Arabidopsis thaliana: one gene and its partner. The protein of the gene in region 2 purifies or fractionates together with the protein of the main gene of each other region. This does not show direct contact. Each region holds a gene or a part of one and is shown on either strand. Other genes may lie near its edges. The genes, in order: AT1G48610 and AT5G59330.

The links.
Region 1: the proteins of AT5G59330 (region 2) and AT1G48610 fractionate together in Arabidopsis thaliana (co-fractionation; one large-scale study listed by BioGRID). This does not show direct contact.

The regions. Positions count from the first base shown.
Region 1 is NC_003070.9:17,971,547-17,975,473, forward strand, and holds the start of AT1G48610 (AT hook motif-containing protein), read right to left. Parts: upstream 1,857-3,927; 5' UTR 1,535-1,856; intron 1,258-1,534; 5' UTR 1,253-1,257; coding exon 764-1,252; intron 1-763. Other genes in the region: HON5 (high mobility group A5), read right to left, coding at 2,602-2,832, 2,926-3,000, 3,537-3,927. UniProt on the Arabidopsis thaliana protein: May bind DNA.
Region 2 is NC_003076.8:23,929,288-23,932,872, reverse strand, and holds AT5G59330 (Bifunctional inhibitor/lipid-transfer protein/seed storage 2S albumin superfamily protein), read right to left. Parts: upstream 1,560-3,585; 5' UTR 1,460-1,559; coding exon 1,196-1,459; 3' UTR 1,142-1,195; intron 994-1,141; 3' UTR 802-993; downstream 1-801. Other genes in the region: LTP3 (lipid transfer protein 3), read right to left, coding at 3,381-3,390, 3,485-3,585.

The DNA of each region.
Region 1 (3,927 bases), on a different chromosome or scaffold from region 2:
AACCAAATAGATTTCAAGAAATACACCAAATCCAGATACTATACACATCTTTTCAAAATATTACGAATCATTTCAAATTCTGCAGAACCTAAAATTAACCAGATTTGAGACCACCAGAGACAAATAACATACAACTCTAAACTTTTTCCACTATATATGCAGAACAAACAGTCAAGAACAACCGTATAATTGGTATATACCTTTTGTTAAAATTATACATTAAGCATTGTTATGTCTAACATGAACTAAACACTTGTGAAATTTATTTGGACTCAAATTACATGATAACTTCTTACCAAATAGACCAATCACTTTCACTTCCACATTATACAAAAAAAGATTTAATGAAATACACCAAAATCCAGATAAGATGCACATCTTTTCAAAGAAATTACGAATAATATCAGATACTTCACACTCACAATAGACCACATTTGAGACAAATAAAGACATTACTCTGAACTTTATCTACTATATGCAGAAGAAACAGTCAAGAAGAACAATATTAAATAAGACATTTTCCCAAAATACACCAAAATCCAGATAAGATACACATTTTTCTAAAAATACGGGGAATTTCAGATACTGCAATCCTAAAAGTAGACCACATTTGAGACCAGAGTCAAATAAGACATTACCCTGAATTATTTCCACACTATACAGAACAAACAGTCAAGAACAATCATATAATTGGTATCAGACCATTTCTAAATTTCTTTTGACATTTTGTGAATAAAGATAATGAAATTAAAGAGAAACATACCTTCCTAGTCCTGCGCACAGGCTGTGCAGCTACTTCGACAGTAGGTTTCCTTCCACGTCTCTTAGCTGGAGCCACCACAGTTTCTGCTGGAACAGTTGCAGCCGCCACGTCATCTTTCTTTGGCCTCCCTCGTTTTCTAGAACCCTCTCCAGTAGCAGTAGTAACCACAGCCGCCGTTACAGTCGACCTCTTTGCCCTACCACGTTTCTTCACAGCCGCCGCCACAGACGTAGAAGGAACAGCCTGAGCTACGTTTCTTTTCGGACGACCACTTGGTTTAGTACTCGCCTTCGCAGAAACGGCACCGATTTGGGAAGAGTCAGATTTAGCCTTTGGCGGTCGACCACGACCGCGTTTCTGAGAAGCAGTATCAGTAGCTGAGACGCCGGTGGCATCCGTTTGAGGTTTGTTGCCAGACGCATCTCCAGGTGTACCGGATCTTGGAACTTCGGAACCAGACGCGGGAGGAGTAAGAGCTGTTTTCGCCATGAGATCTGTAGATGCGAATCAGAAAAAAAAAAAAAAAAGAGAAAGCAAAATGTGAGAAAACGGCGGTTAATCGGAATCAAAACCCTAGCAAAAACGGACATCAACGGAGACTAGACTTAAACTAAACAACCAGAAACTCGATTTCGCTAAAACCTTAACGAAATTTCAAATGTCACAAACCTAGAATCTAGAAACGAAGACTGTAAAACACAGATTCAGGCTCTCACGCGTAGAGATTTCGTTTTGAGAAAAACTAGGGTTCGCAAATCGCAATGTACGTACCTTGTTCAACTTAATAGAAGGATTCGCGAGATGGTAAAGGAAGCTTGAAGAATCTGGAGGAAGAAGAAAGAAATTACAAAGAGAAACTTGGCGGAGAAGAAAGATAAGAGAGATAGAGATGGTTTTCGCGGTTAGAAGAAGAAGGTCACCACCATGGGCTAGAGCTTGGAAAGAGTAGAAACGAACGACCGAGAGGTTCAGAATCAGTTGCGTCAACCGATATGGGTCCACCTTTACTCCTTGTTTTTATTTTTATTTATCAACATTTCATTTTTCTTTTTAATTCACAGATTTTTAAAATAAATCACGAATATTAATTTTTTGGTATTATAGTATAACATGCAAATGTGGTGGTGATTTCTTTTTAACTTTTTCAAAAAAAAAAGTTGATTTATAAAACCAAAATCGAAAAATACACTACTTTATTTCAAATTCAAAATTTTTTTGGAGAAAAGTATTGAAAACTTGTTAAAAAAGTGTTTATCGAGTAATAAATTTAGAAATTTGGTTAAATGGTGTGTGAGTGAAGAGTAAAACCGTTCTATACCTTCTACCTAATTTCTGCAATAAGTACACTTAAAATTAAAACCGGATTTCAAATTAAAACAGAGCAACTGACATAAGCAACTTTTATTTAATGGTTTTCTAACTACATAACGTAAGAGACTTGAAGAAACCATCATAAAAAGTAGAAGTGGTCATAAAAATTACATAAGCGTTTTTGATAAACATCAACAACAACTCCTAAAAAGCCTAAGGAGACAAAATAGAATAAGAGACACAACAGTCTAAAAAAAACACGAGGGAACAAAGAACAAAGCTGCCTACACAGATATGGACGATGGAGAGAGATGGGAAGCATGAACAATGGTAACATCCTAATTCACTTTACAGACATTACCCTACCTCTCCTTGTTGTTTGGTTAGAGACACAATCATCATCATCAGTTCATCACATTGTTCTTTTTGTTTTTCTCCTGCAAACACCCTTATAAGATTAAAAATTTCATGTAACACACAACAAGTAAACCCACCACTTGCTAGCTTTTTATGTCAAGGCTTTATCTTTAGAACAGAGCTTCTTGCATTGCCTCTGCTTCTGTCTGTCCTTGACCCTCTGCTTCTGGTTCGGTTTCAAGGTGTTCCTCGTCTGGCAGCTGCACTTCTTCCATGTGCTTTGGCTCGTTTGTTGTCTCTGCTATCCCTTCCAGGTCCTGTATGGCTTGAACCACTGCTTGATTTCCACTTCCTCCTATCTCGGATTTCAACACAATTACAATATCCTTAGCTCTCGCTTGCTGCATAAATGAGATATCAAAACCAAGCATAAGCAATTAAGTATCAAAACCAAGGACGGACCATATTGTGTTTCTGTTCATTAGATTACTTACAAACAACTCAAACTTCTTCTTCAGTTCTCCATAGTCACCATCTTGTCGTCCAGAAGCTCCCACTGACACCGCATTCTATGTTTATAAATGGCAATAATATAAATGTAATTAGATAACTAACTCATCAATATAATAGACAAAGAAATTCTAGTGGACTTGGAAATACACAAACTCTTGAACTTTGACTGAATTAACTAAATTTCTGCTTAAAACAGACAAAACTTGATAAGATGTCTGTCTCAAAAGATAAGTTCATATGTAATTCTCACACTTCAACTGAACAATTATTGGTTGCTAAAGCGAGCCACCTACCAAGTTGCTCTTGATTACCAAACAAAGAGATATCTTAGATTAATAGTACACCACAAAACCAGATTAAGTATAGGCCAAAAGCAGAGACACGAATATAAATTAAACTCTAGAATTTATTTAGTTAGATACTCTCTAGTCTCCACACACACGCTCGAAAGAGACAATGTTGAGAATGGAAAGTGACATTTATTCACAAGACAAAAGTTCCAACTTTTATTCTCTTATCTATTTGACTAGAAATATTCAAGTTCTCTATAATCACTGTGTAATCGCAGAGACAAAAAGGAATGATATTTTACCTTTCTGGGTCTTCCTACGGGTTTTCCAGTACGAGCAAAGCTTCTCATCGGCTTCATAGGCTTCCTGATAACACCTCCAATCTTAGGAGGCCGTCCTCTTCCTCGTTTCTTGACTGCAACCTCCTCTCCTCCACTCTCTACGTTAGTTGGTGGTGGTGGTGGTGGAGCAACAGAGGAAGCACCACCAGCGTCAACTCTCTTTGGTCTCCCTCGGCGTCTAACACCACCATTAGCAACATACGGGAACACTGAAGCTGGAGCTGAGACTACTATAGGCTTTCTCTCCCTCCCAGCAGCTCTTCCACTCGGAGGTCTACCTCTTCGTTTCACAGTCTCCACACCACCGGAAACAGAAGCAGCTGGCTTCACCGTCGGCGAAGTTCCATCTTTT
Region 2 (3,585 bases):
ACTAGAATTTAGCAATTTTAAAGTATTAGTATAATTTTTGCTCTCCGTATGCGAATAAATATATTTATGGTTCCAAAAAGGCAAAGACTATGCATTTAACAGAAAATTATCGAGTGTGTTATATTGTTCTTTTTCTTATCTTACTATTGAATGTTCGATTTATAGGTATAAATAAACTTGTATGTTTATATGCATATAAAGTCATGAAAATCAACTAGTTTCACCCTCGGAAAGAAACAGTGCCATTGGCTGATTTGGAAGCTCTGGAAATCCAGAAATAAAGTCATATCAAAGGAAAGGATTTCAATGTGCGTTGGACGAAGATGCAGAAAAGTGGGGCAATTGAAGAGAACAAAATGAACATAGGAGAACTCAAGCTGGAGCATGAAATACATGTATCAAATGGAACCATCCTCCACCAGAATGGATCAAATGTAAACATGTAATACATATGGTGCTTGGCAAGGACAAGGAAATCAGAGTGGAGTTGGGTGGGTTATCCGATCCGAAATCACCAAGGGTCAGGGTTATGGATGGGAGAAGAGACCTTATAAAGCAAATTCTATTTGTTAATGACGCGTTAAGAATATATTCAAATTGATTTCCATTTTTTATGATGAGGTGGTGAATGGAAGTTTATAGATGCAAGTTGATACAAGTTGATTTTCCACTTTTGTAAAAACTTAAAATGATACAAGTTGATTTTCACCATTTCAGAAGGCTCAGATCCGTGATCTTTTGTTAGAGAACTTGTCACTAAGAGTGTTGCGAACAAAGGCGTTGGAAAAATATACAAGAAAAGAGGATTAATTAAGGTGTTATTATTATCTTTAACATGATAAGTTACAATTCAGAACAACCAAAAGATTACAAAGCCACAAGAAAAAGGCACGGTGAGATCAGCGTACGTACATAGACATTTTATTTTACTTATGTTAAAACCATAATCTGATTATACATATATATATAATTAAGCTCCAACTTCACTCGACGCTGCAACAATAAAAACAATCAAAACGTATACCTTACCAAATAATAAAAATTATATCATGGTGTTTAGTTAGAATGAGTACTTAAGTTAATTAGAAAGAAAAAGAGAGGAGACTAACTATATATGTACAACAATTAAAAAAAAGCTTACTTGTCGCAGTTAGTGCTCAAGGAAATGGGATAGGGAATGCTAACACCGCACTCTTCAGGAAGACCAGAGGCTAGACTTGGGTTGAGACCAGAAATGCCCTTTGCAATGGACTGTAGGCATCGGCATGGTTTGAGCCACACCGTTCAACTTTTCAACTCCTTCACAACACAGATCCGGTACCACACCACCTTTTGAAAGGTAGTTGGCACATGGAGCCAAGTTACTTACCACTGTGCCACATGAGATTTCTGCATCTACTGATGAAACTATGCACACCGTCAAAACGAAGCATATGAAGAACCTGAGAGCCAAAGCCATTGTGTTTGCTCTATTTTGTTTTGGTTATTACAAACAAAAGTAGAGGTTTAGTTAAGTCTTGTTTTCTAATTAAGCTTGTGTTTTGCTATTGGATGTGAGAAAAGTGGGAGGTGATGATGGTTTTAAATAGGGATTTTAGATGGAAAAAATGGTGACTAAGTATAGGGTTTGTTAGAAGTTAGATACGCATTTACTTTATTCTTGTTTCTTCCACTAACGAGAAAGAATGTTTTGCTATAGTCAAATGTAAACAATAGTACGTATCTTACTTTTATTTTTTATACTTTTATTTTGTATATTTTCGTATTTTAAGATATCATACTTTTGAGCGATTCAGAAGATTTGAATAGTAATACTGATAACATGCTTTGCTAAACATACGTTAGCAAAGCATAACTAATCTTCGATATCGTACATATATAATCAATAGTTTGCTAGCTATGTGTACGGACTATTTCAGTACCGTTCATATTTCAATTCAATGCAATGAGAAACTAAGGAACATATCTAAGTGTATCCTCCACCAATTTAATTTGTTTTTAGCTATGAGTACTATATCTAAATTGATCTATATATTTATCAGTTACTATGTACATTAACTTTTTGTCGTCTATATCTTTATTTATTTTAAGATATATGTTTTGATTCAAAGCAAGGTCATCACTGTGCATATTTTTCTCTTAAAAAGTTAACAGTTAAAAGGATGGAGATGGCGGTTACTGGTTAGAAATCGGAGATTTAATTATGCCAAATCTCAATTACCGTCCAATTAGTGCAATGTATAACTGAGGGACACGTGTATCCAACATCAAACATGACAAATTGACAACTCTCCCAACCAGCTTATTTGAAGAATAAACCAGGAGCAGAGTTTAATATGTAAGTCCGGTTATCGGAGTCCTTAAAATTAAACCAAGCTGGTTTTGGAAATTGAGCAATATATGGTTTCAATAAGTTGAAGATTCTGGGCCTTTAACGGACCTGATGAAAGCCCAACGCACATTACGGGTTTGAGTCAATGACTATGACTTGAATGTCCTAAAGGCTAAGCTCCAAATGTTGACCAAATCAGGAGATCAATTCTGACAATTTTTCACTAGCAACCATACTTTGAAAAATGCTATCTGATTTGAGAGTATCAGATGCGGTATAATGGGCTTAACCGCTTAAGTCGCTGACGAGGAACTTGAGATGGCTTTGCGTTATTGCGTAGTAAGGTATTACAACACGATATTGGACGAAATTTTGCATGACATTAGTAACTTGACGCAAACGCAGAGTTGATAAAATTTGCATGACATTAGTAACGATTTTGTCCAAAAAAAAAAAAAAAAAATTTTTTTTTTTCTTCGATGCATAATCAAATCGTGAAGATTGATAACATTGTTCTTAGATTAAAAAAAACAATGTTGTTAGGTGTTTGTTATTTAATTAGGATTATTACTTTTGTTATTTAATTAGGTTGGTCAACGTAAAGTTTTATTTTTTCGGATAATGGTAAAATTTCTATTGCAGATGCAGCAGCTTTTACTTTATCAGTATGGATGAGAGATTTATTTTTTTGGGTTAAAGGAGAAAAATCATTGAGCATGTCTTCTTCGTATAAATATCAATTTTATAAATAATGTCACTCCAAAACTAGGAACTTAATATTATTGGTTACTTAATAGTTATAAAACTCTTCACATATTATTATTACGTTCGTATGCGTTGGAGGAGATATCTAGAAAGAAGATGACTAATAAGGTACTATTATCATAGTTTTAGCACATCAATACAACATATGATATGAAAATAAGACAAAGCATTGAGACAAAAACAAATACATGGTAATATCAGCTAAGATATATAGCCGTATTTTATTCTAGTACTTCTGGTAAACCATACTCTTAACGCCAAAACGACGACGTAAGCTTCCATTTCACTTGATGCTGCAACAATCCAAACGATCAAGAGAACACATTTTGTCATTAGAAAAAATAATTCATGGTCTCTAGATCAAGTAAAACAAAACTAAATACTTACTTGTTGCAGTTAGTGCTCATGGAGATTGGATATGGAATGCTAACACCGCACTTTCCAGGAAGGCCAGAGGCTAGACTTGGGTTGAGACCAGAAATGCTCTT